2 linked regions of the Pelodiscus sinensis genome follow. The protein of the gene in region 1 interacts with the protein of each later gene in a pairwise test. Links are inferred from orthologs where the notes say so. Each region holds a gene or a part of one and is shown on either strand. Other genes may lie near its edges.

The links.
Region 2: the proteins of tyrosine-protein phosphatase non-receptor type substrate 1-like (region 1) and NOL3 interact in a two-hybrid assay, tested with the Homo sapiens proteins (2 studies listed by BioGRID and IntAct). The two-hybrid records come from large-scale screens. The link is inferred for Pelodiscus sinensis from reciprocal best matches to the Homo sapiens genes SIRPA and NOL3.

The regions. Positions count from the first base shown.
Region 1 is NC_134728.1:2,956,824-2,964,787, reverse strand, and holds the start of tyrosine-protein phosphatase non-receptor type substrate 1-like, read right to left. Parts: upstream 3,036-7,964; 5' UTR 2,595-3,035; intron 2,490-2,594; 5' UTR 2,481-2,489; coding exon 2,399-2,480; intron 1-2,398. UniProt on the Homo sapiens protein: Immunoglobulin-like cell surface receptor for CD47. Acts as docking protein and induces translocation of PTPN6, PTPN11 and other binding partners from the cytosol to the plasma membrane.
Region 2 is NC_134714.1:133,327,686-133,335,079, reverse strand, and holds the start of NOL3 (nucleolar protein 3), read right to left. Parts: upstream 3,152-7,394; 5' UTR 1,767-3,151; intron 1-1,766.

The DNA.
Region 1 (7,964 bases):
CTCGCTACTCCAGCATACAAAGGCTTCCTAAGAAAGCCAGGCCTTGATTTCGGTCACACAAGTGGCCTTCCGTGGTGGATTAACTAACTGCTCAGAGCTGTCAGAGAGGGAGCCGGGTTAAGGAGTGAGTTGCAATTCAAGCTTCTGCCATGATAAAATTGTGAGTTTTGAAGGTGTCGGCAGACTCCTTGTTGTTTTTAATGCTGAGAGATACAGATAAAATTACAGCATTTCAGCTGCAAGCGAAGCACCATCGAAATGCAACAGTAACTACACGGTTCTATTCTTGGTGGAGGAGGGAAGTTTTTACTGACACTGATGGAGGGAAGGGAGTGAAAAGAGGGAAGTGCAAAAGGCAGGAGAAATAAACAAATTGAGTAAAGAAATGCACCATGATAGCGCCGTCCACGGAGCTCAAAAGTCTTTTGTGAGCATTAAACAAATCATCTGACAGAGTCAGTATTGTGAGCCAGGCACAGTACAAGTGCCTAGATTAGGCTTTGTCTACACTAGCAGAGCCCTACACGGATACAAAACTTGTGCTCACATCTGCAAAAATGGTCCAGGGATATCTGCAACCCCCTCTGCGGGTGTGGAGTGGCTATAAAGTGGCTATCTGCAAATTTGCACCATTCTAGAGAAAAAAAATTGTATCCGCAACCATATCCATAAAAACGCGCCACGGATGTCTGCAGCCACAGGTGCGGATGCCCACGAATACAAATTGCAGGGCTCTATACACTTTTGCTGGCAATTTTTTAATCTGTCAGGGTGTGAAAAAAAACCCCACACCCCAACTGCCATAAGTTTTGCTGCCAAAAGTGCCGGTGTGGACAGTGCTATGTTGGTGGGAAAGCTCATTCTGCCAACATAGCTACAACCGCACCTTGAGGGTCGTTTAATTGGAGTGGCTGAAGAGCTCTCTCCTATCAACATACAATGGCTACATAGGAAGCTGTACAGCAGCACAGCTGCGCCGCAAGAGGGTACCTAGCCTAGACCGGGTCAAACTCAGCTTCAAGTCAGTGAGTGCAATTCCCCTTATGATACAAACTTCATGGTGGATTACTAGAGCCAGAAAACGGATGCAAAGTGGTGAAAGTTGCGCTGACTGGGCATTCAGTGATTGTGCAAAGTGAGTGAGATTTGCACACTCTGAGCTGCAAAAAGGAGGGTACGGCTCGCAAAAAGCAACTAGCAGGACTGTGTAAGAAATCAGACAATGACAGCGGTGCCTGTTTTACAGCTTCCTGAAAGGGCTCATGAAAATCAGTTTGGAATATGATAGGATGTATTTAAAGACATTCCCGAATAATTCCCCATGTGAATTCTCTTATTCTGGACTAAGACTATCCACACGTGGAGTTAACCAGGAGCCACGTCCTGCGTATACGTGCCCTCGCGGCTGCCGGTTGGTGTGTAAAAAACACAGTCCGAGTGGCAGATTTGTGCCATTTTGACCAATTCACCCAGCCTGCAGATCGCAGCAGCCATATGCACCAGTGACTCGTGGTAGCATCCCAGTGCCCTCCACCAAAATTCTCACTGCTAAATGGGGTGCCCCCTCCCTGCACCCCTCTCACCTCAAGCACTAGCTGCCTATAGCTATCCCAGCAAGGGGCCAGTTCTAAGCCTGCCCAGTTGAACCCCCAGTGCCCGGTTTTCACCAGACCAGGGGGTGTTTACCTGGTGGCACAATCTCTAGATTACAGAAAAATCAACTCCTCCCCCCCCCACCACCACGCACATTACACAGCGCAAGCCAGACCCCCGTGGACCCAGGGGAGAAGCGCCCAGGTTACTCCCACAGCAGCCCAGTTACAGCCCCCCCCCGTCTTTAATGTGCCCCCTCCCCGGCTAGGGCGCTGCGGCAGCTAAAGATCAACAGACAAGCTTGCTGGGGGGGGGGGGCGCCAGACACTCCCGGGGGGGCAGGGAAGAGTCGGGGAGCAGACACTCCCGGGGGGGGGGCAGGGAAGAGCCGGGGGGCAGACACTCCCGGGGGGGGCAGGGAAGAGCCGGGGGGCAGACACTCCCGGGGGGGGCAGGGAAGAGCCGGGGGGCAGACACTACTGAGGGCAGGGAAGAGCCAGGGGGCAAACACTCCCCGGGGGGAAGATACTCCGGGGGGCACGGAAGAGCCGGGGGGGGGGCAGGGAAGAGCCGGGGGGCAGACACTCCCGGGGGTCAGGGAAGAGCCGGGGGGGGCAGGGAAGAGCCGGGGGGCAGACACTCCCCGGGGGGAAGATACTCCGGGGGGCACGGAAGAGCCGGGGGGGGGCAGGGAAGAGCCGTGGGGCAGACACTCCCGGGGGTCAGGGAAGAGCCGGGGGGAGCAGGGAAGAGCCCGGGGGGGGGGGCTCACGCCAGCCTGCCCACCGGGAGCAGCATCACTTACCGGGCCAGGCGAGCAGGCCGAGGAGCAGCAGGCAGGTGAGCCCCCGGGCCGGGGCGCGGGCGCGGCGGGCGCCGGGCTCCATGGCGGGCGGCTGGCGGGGACAGAAAGGAGGAAGAGTCGCATGAAGGGGCCGGCTCCGCTCGGGCTCAGGGCCGCCCCCCGGAGGAGGAGGAGGAGGAGGCGTCGCGCCCCCCACCTGGGCAGCCGGCTCGGGGGACCGGGCGTCGCTCGCCGGCCCGCCCGCTGCAGCCCGGCCCCTGCGGCGGGTGTGTGGCCGCGGCGCGGGCTCCCGCTCCGGTTCCTGGCGCTGGCAGCCCCCCCGGTTGCCTAGCACGGAGGAGGCGGCTTCCAGGCACGTACCCGGGCGCAGGAACAGCCCCCCCGGGCCGCCCCGATTTAAGGTCGCTCGCCGGGCGGGTGCAGCCCCGGGCCGGGCTCCACACCCCCCTGCTGCGCTACGGTCATCCCGGAGCAGCCCCGCGTTGCCGGCTTAAGGTGGGCCGGGCGAGTTCCCTCCCCCGCGCCTGGCAGCTGCTTCTGGGGAGGGCGCGGAGCGAACCGCGTGCCCCCGGCGTCGCCCTTTGGCTTTGCCCGCTGCTGTCACTTCCTCCGCCAGGGGAGCCCTGGTCTGCCCCGAGCCTGGGGAAAGGCTGAGGAAGGAGGGCGGGAAGCAGAGGGAGTGAGGGGATGGGCTTCCCAGTGGTTAGAGCTCCAGTCTGCAACTTGGTAGACGGGGGGCGCGAGTCCCTGTCGTACCACAGCTTCCCTGCGTGCCTCGATTCCCCCTCCGTGCACTGGGGGTGGCAGCCCTGCCCTGCCCCTCAGGAGGACAAGCAGGTGGAATCACATTCTTGAGGAAGGGGCTCAGAGATGTCAGTGGGCAGCATGGAAGTGCTGTGGGGCAGGGCCTGGCTTGTTCTGTGTCTGTGCAGCACCTATCACAATGTATCCAAGGGGTAGCTCAATGTATCCAAGGGGTAGCTCAATGTATCCAAGGGGTAGCCTTGTTAGTCTAAATCTGCAAAAGCCATGAGAAATCCTGTGGCACTTTATAGATTAACAGATTTATTGGCACATAAGCTTTCGTGGGCAAAGACCCACTTGTCAGATGCATGTAGTGGAAATTCCAGAGGCAAGTATAAATACACAGGCATAAGAAAAGAGTAGGATCAAGAGTAAGGCTGGAGATAACGAGGTCAATTCAGTCAGGGAAGATAAGGCCCACTTTTTTAGCTGCTGATGTGGAGGTGTGGAAAACCAAGAGAGGAGAAACTGCTTTTGTAGTTGGCTAGCCTTTCACAGTCTTTGTTTAATCCTAAATGGATGGTATCAAATTTGCAGATGAACTGTAGCTCAGCAGTTTCTCTTTTAAGTCTGTTCTTGAAGTTTTTTTGTTGCAGGATGGCTACTTTTAAATCTGCTACTGTGTGTCCAGGGAGATTGAAGTGTTCCCCTACAGGTTTTTGTATATTGCCATTCCTAATATCTGATTTGTGTCCATTTATTCTTTTACGTAGCGACTGTCCAGTTTGGCTAATGTATATAGCAGAGGGGCATTGCTGGCACATGATGGCATAGATCACATTGGTAGATGTGCAGGTAAATGAACACTTGATGGTGTGGCTGATCTGATTAGCTCCTGTGATGGTGTCGCTGGTGTAGATATGTGGGCAGAGTTGGCACCGAGGTTTGTTGCAGGGATTCATTCCTGAGTTAGAGTTACTGTGGTGTGCTGTATAGTTGCTGGTGAGAATTTGCTTTAGGTTGGCAGGTTGTCTGTGGGCGAGGACTGGCCTGCCTCCCAAAGCCTGTGAAAGTGAGGGATCATTGTCCAGGATGGGTTGTAGATCACTGATGATGCATTGGAGAGGTTTTAGCTGAGGACTGTAGGTGATGGCCAGTGGTGTTCTGTTTGTTTCTTTGTTGGGCTTGTCTTGTAGTAGGCGGCCTCTGGGTACACATCTCGGCTCTGTTAATCTGTTTCCTCACTTCCTCAGTCAGGTATTGTAGTTTCAAGAATTCTTGGTGAAGATCTTGTAGGTGTTTGTCTCTGTCTGAGGGATTGGAGCAAATGCAATTGTACCTTAGTGCTTGGCTGTAGTAGACAATGGATCGTGTGGTGTGTCCGGGATGGAAGCTGGAGGCATGGAGGTAGGCATAGAGGTCAGTAGGTTTTCGTTGTAGGGTGGTCTTTATGTGACCATCATTTATTTGCACCGTAGTGTCCAGGAAGTGGCTCTCTTGTGTAGATTAAACAAAGGATTAAACAAAGAGGATGTGTCTAGACTAGTCAGTTTTTCCGGAAAATCAGCCGCTTTTCCGGAAAAACTTGCCAGCTGTCTACACTGGCCACTTGAATTTCCGCAAAAGCACTGACTTCCTACTGTAAGAAATCAGTGCTTCTTGCGGAAATAGTATTCTGCTCCCGTTCAGGCAAAGCTTTTGCACAAAAGGGCCAGTGTAGACAGCTCAGATTTGTTTCCGCAAAAAAGCCCCGATCGCGAAAATGGTGCTTTTGCCGCAAAAGTGTTTTTGCCGAAAAGTGTCCTTGCCAATCTAGACGCTCTGTTCCGAAAATGCTTTTAACGGAAAACTTTTCCATTAAAAGCATTTCCAGAAGATCATGCCAATCTAGGCGCAGCCAGACTGTGAAAGGCTAGCCAACTACAAAAGAAGTTTCTCCTCTCTTGGTTTTCACACCTCCACATCAGCGGCTAGAAGTGGGCCTCATCCTCCCTGACTGAATTGACCTCGTTATCTCTAGCCTAACTCTTGATTGCTACTCTTTTCTTATGCCTGTATATATATATACCTGCCTCTGGAATTTCCACTAGATGCATCTGATGAAGTGGGTCTTTGCCCATGAAAGCTTATGCACCAGTAAACCTGTTAGTCGATAAGGTGCCACAGGACTCCTCGTCGCTAGCACAATGGTGTCCTGCCCGGACGGGGACGCTCAGGTGCTACCATAATACACATTTAATAGTCAGTTATTAGAAGTGGTTGGCACTGCCTTAGCGAGAAGGGTAGGAAGATGTGGGGGGCTGGGAACAAATGGGGTGAGAATGGAGGAGTTGTGGTGGAGGGAGGGGGAGTCTCTTTGCAGCCTACTGGAGAGAGCCCCCCGCCACCGGCAGCCTCTTGTTAAATTCTGAGGGGAGAGGAAGAATCCCTGCCCCGATGGCGCTGACCCCACTCTCAGACACACCCACCCGCAGCAGACAAATCCCCGGCACCCCATCCTTCCCCCCCGGTGATAGGTCTCCATCTCCCCTCAGACACCTCCAGCCACACTGCCCGCCCCTCTGACGCCTCTGGAGCTAAGCGGGAACCCTTCCAGCCAGGGCATTCAGAGGCGTTTGGTTGCCAAGTGGTACCAGGTCCCTCCCTGGTGTGGCGATGAGAAGAGCTTTGTGTGAGAGGGAACGATGAACAGCTTCCCAGCTGAGCACCCTGCGACGTGCCGTTTGTCACAGGCCGGCGAGGAACATTGCCCACCAAGGGAACAAAAGCCCCAGGTGGCGAGGGAGAGAAGGGGGGAGGAAGATGGAGGCGCTGGGCGGGTGAAAAGCGGCGGAAGAACAGGGCAGAGGAAGAAAGGGAAGGGAGAAGGCAGAGTCTGGTTTGCTCTTCTCACCGTGCAGTGTGTTTCAGGGTATGTCTACACTGCCATAAAAACCCATGGGGATGAGTCCCAGCGGCTAGGTCAGCTGATTCAGGCTCGGGCTATGGGGCTAAACATAGTGTGGACATGTGGCTCTTAGCCCCACCCGCTTTGGGGTGTCAGACCCTGAATATCTACACTGCAGTGTCATAGCCCTGCTGTCCCAGCCTGGAGAGCCCAAATCAGCTGACCTGGGCCAATGGCAGCCACATCACGGGGCTTTTCTTGCAGTGTCACCACACCCCCAGTGATGCGTGTCCTGCGGGATTCCAGGCCCACAAGCATGGCATTGCTATGCTACCGCGCTTCCGAGAGACCCTCCGGAGTGGAGGGAGGCAAACAGTCTCCACTGTTCAGATCTTGGCTTTCTCTCTGCACTTGGAAAACAAGGGGCCAGTTGTGGCCTGGGCGTGCCTACCTGGAAATGAGCAATGATTAACTCCTTTAACAATGGGCATACCATCTACAGACATGTTTTTGTTAGTCTATAAAGTGCTACCAGACCATTTGTTGCTTTTTTCTGTAACAGATTAACTCGGCTACCCCCTGAAGTTCCTTTAACAATGGTTAGCTGCAGTGTTTCCTCCTTTTCCACCCCAACTTCTTAAAGTTTTCCCAGCTACAGGCTAACTCGGCTCCCCCTCCGAAGCTTTTTTCCACTCATGTGCAGAATACATTTTGTGATGTGCACTGAGGCATGGGCAGATGTGCACCACCATTAGAAGGACACGCTGCTGGCTGCGTGCAGCTGTGCGTGCTCTGCTAATTAGCAGGGTGGCATTGGAATGTCCCCCGGGTGGCTGCCCAAGCACTTATAAGGAACACTGGTCACAGTTGTCATTTGCGACCGATTTGGGTCAGAACAGATGGCGATGTAAGGCTGTGTCTGCCCAGCAGGCCCTGCAGGAATTCACTGCTGTACCTGAACCTATCCAGCAAGCAATATGAATGCACAGCACAGCAGTCATAGGGAATCAAAGCTGGGGAGAGGCAAATATTTGGGGGAGTCTTTGCAGCTGTCTTAGCTGCTTGTCTGAAAAAAAATCCTTGATTAGGGCCAGAGAGACCAAATATTCTTATGCTCACACTGAACACAAATCCCAGCTAGCGACTGTCCCATGCTAGATTTCAGCTAGAGAGTGGCTGCAGACCTTGCTCCATGAGTGCTGTCTAGATCAAGACTAATTCCAAAGTTCTGGAGAAGTTTGCTGTAATTCTTCCAAGAGCCTGGCTTGCAGCCTCCCTCCGCCCCCATTAACCGTAACACTCCCCCTTGGGAGGATGAGAGAGTGCCGCATTTACTCTCTTGATTAGTATCGAGCTGTAAACAAAAAACAAAGCGGTCTCAAGTGATTTGGAACCCCCCAAGCCATGCATATTATGACTTCATGTTCTTACCACCGCAACCCCTCTCTCTGGCCTGTTGTTTGCTACACCCACGGGTTGCATCTGGTCTGAATTTAATTTGCATGCTCTTGAAAATAGGGAACATGTTTTCCGGTGCCTGTGCAGCCCCGTGAAACTCTTCACACCTGATTAATGACTGGGTGCTACCTTAATTATACAAATATGTGTGATCAGTGTTATTCCAGCGGAACCAATCGCTGTCCTAGGTGAAAAGAAACTTGCTCCCACTGTTTTTTATCTCCCCTTTCTGGCAAGTGTGCGCATTGGAAACATGTCCACATTTATGCTCCATTTGAGGCTTTTTGTAAGGGGAGTGGGGAGTGGTCTCTGCTTAAAAGAATTCCTTGTACAGAGATGGGCATGTGGGATCCCACGGAAAGCTGGGTTTGAACTCCTAAAATTGATCCTCCTATAGAAGCATTAGTCAGCCTCGTCCCTAGATTTTGATTCATTGACCTCCACCCCCCACCCCCCCATCCCGAGAACTGAATTCTG
Region 2 (7,394 bases), on another chromosome or scaffold:
ATCTCTTGCTCCAGGCAGCTCTAAGGACTGGGTGTGTGTGGAGGGCTGGCTGCCGAGGCTCCGCCCCTTCTGCCTGAGGCTCCGCCCCTTCTGCCTGAGGCTCCCGTCCCTTCCTGGATTGTGGAGTCAGCCTTCCTACCCCACCTTTCCCAGGGGCCTGCAGGAGCTGTTGGCTCCCCTGTCCAGAGCATCACTTTGCTTAAAGTTAAAATAATTTCCTAAGATCTAACCCACAGCTCCCTGGCTGCAGTTGAACCCGCTTCTTCTTGTCCTGCCTTCAGTGGACGCGGAGAACAACTCATCACCGTTCCCTTTGTATCCACTTTGTACCTATTTGAAGACTGTTCTGAGACCCCTCCGCTGTGTTCTCTTCTCTCAACTATCCCCGCCCGGGTCCCTCGGCCTCTCCTCGACGGTTACATTCTCTTATCGTGTTCGTTGCTTTCCTCTGGACTCTCTCCAATTTGGCCACATCCCTCTGTAGGATCTACAGTTGGGCACGGTCCTCCTCCGGGCCCAGCTGTTACCATTCGTGGGGATCATCAGACTCCTCCCTTTCTTCTCGGCAGCAGCACGGTTTCTGCGATCCGAAGGGGACACGGCCGTGGATGCTTTGGGGGGCTGGCCATTCGAAAACCGGACCTCACAATCCGGGGGGGCGGATGAAATGTCTGGCTGGGCCCGGGACAGCAAGGGTTGGTGCCGTGTCGAACGGCGTTGGATTGTTTTCACGTTACACGGAACGAGACGGCTTTTTGAAAGAGTTGTTTCAAACGGAAAAACTCTGAAACTTTTGCCAGGCTGCCAGGTCCTTCCTGCTCCACCGCTGGAGCAAGAGTGTGTCCCTGAGCTCAGCAGCTCCTATTTATACCGCCCCAGCTGGGTCCTGATTGGCCGCTTGCTCCAGGGTTGGGCTTAACCCTTCTCTCACCGGGAGCAGGGCGGTCGCCTCACTACCCTGCCAAAATCGAACGGAACTTCCAGGGCCCTTCTTATCGTCTCTCGTATCTTAACGTTTTCTCTGAGGTGCTGAGAAAATTATCCCCTGCCTGCAAAACCGCAATGTAGCTTCTCTGCTCCATATCCACCATCTCAGGGGAGTAGCAAAAGGGCTACTGCATCTGCCAGATGGCTACCGGCTCGGCAGAGGTGGTGAGTGAAGGTAGGGCCGGGGAAGGGGTTGGGAACAGCTGCCATATGAGAGCGATTGAAAAGACTAGGACGTTTCAGCTTGGAAAAAAGGAGGCTAAGGGGGTCTCTAAAATCACAACTGGTGTGGAGAAAGTGAATAAGGAAACGTTATTTACTTGTTCCCATCACATCAGAACTAGGGTTCACCAAATGAATTAAACAGGTCGCAGGTTGAAAACGAAAGGAAGGTTTTTCTTCACACGGCGCATAGTCAACCTGTGGAACTCCTTGCCGGTGGATGATTTGAAGGCCAGGATTTTAACAGGTTTCAAAAAAGAACTAAATAAATCCATGCAGGTTAGCCAGGCTGGGCAGGAATGGTGTCTCTAGCCGCTGTTTGTCAGAGGCTGGGAGTGGGCGACGGAGGAGGGATCTGTTCCCTCCCTCTGCGGCACGTGGCATTGGCTGCTGTTGGCAGACAGGACACTGGGCTAGACCGCTCTTTGCTCTGACCCATTATGGCCGTTCTTACGTGAGGGAAAGGGCGGCAGAGCGCGAAGGCTCTGGCAGGCAGAAGAAACGTTTCCCCAGAGGGGAGAGGGGGAGCGATTAGTGAAAAGTCGCGCGGTGCCTACCTGCTGGGTCTGTGAGAGTCCAGCGAGATCCCCGTCCCCGCAAGGTGTCGGCCTGCAGAAACGCAGAGTCACTCCAGCCTCTCTTGCAGCATGCCCTTGGCTCTGTTTCGCACGGCAGGGAAGCCGAGTTGCTCTCTAGCTCTCGTGTTCCCGGGAGGCGTCTGCGTTCAGCAGCAGACTGGCTGCGTCGGGCAGGTGGTGTGAGCAGGCGACGGGGATGAGGCGTGTGTCAGGACCGCTGGGAAATCAGCGAGGAAGAAGTCTCGACCCACAGACGCTTTGCTTCCTCCTCCTCTCCCGTGGCGCTTGGCGCAGTCCCTGCTGCTATTTGTGTCTGGCTGGGGACGAGCCAAGATGAAACGGAGACGGCGAAAGCTTAGATCATGGCTTTCTTTGCAGTGCCAGCCTGCCCCTCCTCACACGGCATGGCAGGACAAGGCCAGCTGCACCAAGGGGGTGGAGGAAGGGCATCTCACTTCTGTTCCCTGCTGCCCACACTGGCTGTTTGGGGCTGGCTTATCTGTGTGGCTGCAGTCGCACTAAAACTAGACACTTCAATACCCCTGGCACTTAAACAGGCTCTTGGTTGAAGAGCTTGCTTGCTGCTTTAGGACCCTCAATATCATTAGCATCCGGTCCTAAGGAATAAGTTCCTAGCCGAGGTTAGCTGAAACACCTCAGTCTTGGTGGATGGTTGCAACATAACAACGTTTATTCTTAGAGTCATGAGCAAGGCCTCCAAACTAGCAGATTTACCCGGCGTCGCACCGGTCCTTAAATGGGTTAAAAACAATTAGATCCATTCACGGAGGCTAGGTCCATCAATGGTCATTCTTGCGTGTGCTTTTCTGCAGTCTGCTAGGTTCGTTGTCGCGGGTTCAATCATTCCAACTGAGCCGATTATAGGACACCTTGCTTTGTTGGTGTTGCTATTGAAATTCAAACACGCACCACTGGTTAAGAATTGCTCAGCCATCAAGATCTTTTACAAAAGGCAGGACAGAGGCCTGAAAGAGCAAAAATCCCTGGACGTCTAATAGGAGTGTTTCTTAGCACTTTCTCAAGAGCCGGTGGAAAGTCAGTGAATTTGCAGCCTTGAACAAAAGTGTTTCATTGATGTTGCTTTGAAGAGACTTCCCTTTTTCCCAGTCTGCGAATGAATGAATTGAAGTACGAATATCGAATATTAAACTGCTATAATATTGTCAGATATAGTCCTGGGAAAACCACGGAACTAGAGGGCAGAACTATTGTGATTAAACCAATTTATATGTGGACAGAGAAGTCGAGAGTAAGTAGACTTGGCAGAACTGGATTTTTCCATATTTTCTTTTACAATTTCAGTGGATAATATCAAGGTTTATTTTTAAGCTTTTTTATTCTTATTTACTTATGTTTTCAGAACTGAGGCGGGATCAGAGACCAAGGGTGTGCGTGTGTCATATTTAAAAAACCAAAAATGATCTGGTAGTACTTTATAGACTAACAAAACATGTAGATGGTATTATGAGCTTTCGTGGGCACAGCCCACTTCTTCAGATGACCAGAGTTTTGAGTTTAGGATGTGCAGACCCAAAAAGGGCTGTGCCTGCGAAAGCTCATGATACCATCTCTGTTTTGTTAGTCTATAAAGTGCTACCAGACCAGTTTTGGTGTTTTAATTGTATCCTGTACAGACTAATTCGGCTACCCCCTGACGCTTCTAATTATTTAAAGACAGCCCAGTCGACGCTGAGATGCAAAAAGTTAAAGCTTTATAACTGTGGAAGCCGAAATTGTCAACCCCACATGTCAAAATGTACCAAGTCAGGAGCTCTCAATCCAACTCTGATAGGATTCCGGGCAGGGATTTTCTTACTTTCCATCTCTGTAAATGTTGCTGAGTATGGACCGAGCTATGTTCTCGCCAGTTGGTGTGGATAAGGTGAAGTCGACGTGTCTCATATTTCCTGGTACTTTCAAGCCTCATTCTAACCCCTCTGTGTTTTTGGGTCAGGGAGGTTGGTGTCTGAGTGGGGCGCTGGCTCCCTCTTGTGTCCTGTGAGTGGAATCTCTCCTCAGTGCTCCCTTTGTTTAGCTAATTTGTTTCGGACATTGTACGTCACTCCGTTTAAACTGTTCCCACCCCCTCCCCGCAATCTCACCCTCTCTGTGCTGAATTTCCCCTGCCATCATGTTACCCAGTTACCTGCATCTTTTACCCTGGAGTCCTGCAATCCGCAGCTGATTTTCTGTGAGAAGAAGCTGTATGTGTGGATTCATGGATGGATCCTGCATCTCTGGATTGTTTGGACTCTCACGGGGAAGTTTACCAGATGTCAAGTGGAGATCTCCAGAGACAATACACGGGGACCCTGGCGTTACAATCTGTGACTCACCTGTGAATGTTTTACCTGCTTTAACCTCTCAACAACTCTTCGCTTGTGCGGCTGCAAGTTCTCTCGTGCTGAGGCAGCGGATCCCACAGTGCTTTGATCTTCCAGGTGTGTCGGGAAAGTGCAGCAAATCCACAGAAGGTGCAAAGACCGTGCATGGAAGTGAAAGCATATTCCCCACTCCCACAAATGGAAAAAAGTTCATTTGATTGCTGAGTCAACACATGGAGGTGAGTGTGCAGAGCCGGGAGGGTGGGGGAACATGGTTTTTATGAGCGACGAAGGTCCTGTGGCACCTTAGGGTGTGTCTAGACTACAGGGTTTTGTCAAGAAAAGTGGACTTTTGTCGACAAAACTAGACCTGCGTCTACACTGCCGCCGAGTTCTGTAAACCTCATTCTTCGAGGAATAGCGTCTTTTGTCGACAGAGTTCTGTCAACAGAAGGCGTTATTGCATCTACACTGTCCCTTGCGTCTACACTGTCATGTCAACAAAAGCCTGTAGTCTTGACGTACCCTTATAGGCTAACAGATGTATTGGAGCATAAGCTTTAGTGTGCGAAGACCCACTTCATCAGATGCATGTAGTGGAATTTACATGACTTGCATCTGACGAAGTGGGTCTTTGCCCACAAAAGCTTATGCTCGTATACATCTGTTAGTCCAGTGGTCCTCAACGTGGTGCCCGCGGGTGCCATGGTGCCCGCTGGGCCATTTCTGTGCGCCCGCCGAGTGATCAGGGCTGGCCCGGGCCCGTGGGCGCTGTCGGCTCCTGGGTGCATGGCGTATGGGCATCCCCGCCCCTGGGCACACGGCACAGGAGAAGCACCAGCCCCGGGCGTGTGGCGTATGGGCAGCCCCACCCCATGGCGTGCGGCACAGGACCGGCGCTGGCCCCGGGACTACGGCGCATGGGTGGCGCCAGCACCTGGCATGCGGTGTATGGGTGGTCCCACCCCCAGACACATGCGTGGCCCTGCCCCCGGGTGCCCGGCAGCCCCGAAAGGCTGGGGACCACTGTGTTAGTCTATAAGTTGCCACAGGACTCCTCGTTGCTTTTGCAGATCCAGACGAACATGGCTACTCCTCTGATGGTGTTTATGAGTATCCCCATGTGGCAATGCCGCGAGAAGAGGGCATCATGCGTGTGTCTGGATATTAAGGCAGCTTTCCAAGGCTCTGGTGTACAGCGGAGGGACAAACGTGTCCCATAGAGGTTTCCCCAGGATCTAAGCCCATAGCCAGGGGATGGGATTTTCATCACAGCTGGGGGGGCTGAGCTGTTCCGAGTTTCGATGGGCTGGACAATGGACAGCATGCCAGGGAATGTGGAAGTGACGAGGAAGCGGAGTTCCCTGCCCTGTGTCAGCTGTCGGCAAGCCACATGTTTTGTGTGCGTCTCGGGGCATGCCAGCGGGCAGACCAGGGAGATCGGCAAAGGAGACGCTTGTCAGGAAGTAAAAGGCCTGGGATCTTTCCTTACAGGGCTTTTTTTTTACCTACCCTGAGGCTGAATGGCTGACAGCAGCCCTCCACTGACCCCTGGTGAGCAGCCAGCGGTGCGTTTCTCCATCCGTTTCCCTTGTTGCCTCCGGCAAGGTTGCGTCATTTTCGCTTGTGCAATTTGCTCTTTGCTGCTGACATGAAACATGAGCACTTGAATCCGTGCCAGGCGTGGGAGCCTACAACCTTAGGGCCGGGAGGGACCGTGGGAGGAGCAGTGAGGCAGGACCAAGGAAACCAAGATGATCCCAGACAGGTATTTGTCCCTCCTGTTCTGAAAACCCTCCTCCGATGGGGATTCCACACGTGGAAACTGGTGCCAGAGCATAGCTAGAAAGTTTCCCCTCAGAGCAAACCTTCATTTTCTTGCCACCAATTAATCCAGCTCCTCGTTGTCCAGAGCAATGGTTCACTGGCCTCTTGCTCACAACCTTTTCCATCGCTGTAGGCAGTTACCGGCTCCCTCCACAGCCGCCTTGTCTCTGGACTGACCTTGTCCTGTTCTTTTGACCTTTCTTCAGAGGCAGGGCTGCAGACCAGGGGAGCGCAAGGGGTACCGTATGTTAGCGAATATACCCCTCGACTTTTTCCGAATTGAGTAAAAAAAATCTTGTATACCTTGCGCACAAGTATAACCCACAGGCTATACAAGACTTTTCTTTCCAACTGTGCCGGGGTATATTAGCTAATTTAGGGTGCCGGGGGAGGGGGTGGGATTAGCCAGCCTAAACGCCCCAGTTCCTGCGCAGCTGCCAGTCTCCGGGTGGGGGAGCACTCATCCCCCAGTTCCTGCGGCTGCGCGGAAACCGGGAGATGAGTGCTCCCCCACCGCTTTCTGCGGCTGCGCGGGAACCAGGGGGATGTGCGCTCCCCCACCCGGAGGCTGGCGGTTGTACCGGAACTCACCAGGTGAGTAAAAAAAAATATTGTATACCCCATGGGGGGGGGGGTGTGTGTGTTGTAAAAACTCATATAACCTGTGGGTTATATACGCTAAAATACAGTAGTTGTCCTGGAGCCTGGTGATTTAAGAGGGTCTGAGCCACACTGCTGCCCCCTTGGCACCAGCGGTAGCCAGAGCCCTTTAAATCGCCGCTGGAGTCCTGTGTGATGTGGTGTGGACCGCACTCAGGGATGGCTAGGGAGGCTAGCTCTAGCCCCGCCCCTTCTGCTCCAGACCCACCCCTTGTTCCCAAGGCCCCGCCCCTTCTGGGAGCACGGAGCGTGCCCCTCCCACACACACATTGCCCAAGGCCTGGTGAAGTCTGTCACGAGCCCTGTTTATAGGCCAGGTTTTCCAGCCTTCTCATCACGTGTGTTGCTCGACTCTGGCCTCTCACGAGTGTGTCTAAACCTTTCCGAAGTGCAAAACACCCCCCCAGGCCCTCTGCTGAATAGAATCATAGAATACTAGGACTGGAAGGGACCTCGAGAGGCATCGAGTCCAGTCCCCTGCCCTCACGGCAGGACCAAATACTGTCTAGCCCATCCCTGAGAGACATTTATCTAACCTGCTCTTAAATATCTCCAGAGATGGGGATTCCACAACCTCCCTGGGCAATTGATTCCAGTGTTTGACCACCCTGACAGGTAGGAACTTTTTCCTAATGTCCAACCTAAACCTCCCTTGCTGCAGTTTAAGCCCATTGCTTCTTGTTCTATCCTCAGAGGCCAAGATGAACAAGTTTTCTCCCTCCTCCTTGTGACACCCTTTTAGATACCTGAAAGCTGCTATCATGTCCCCCCTCAG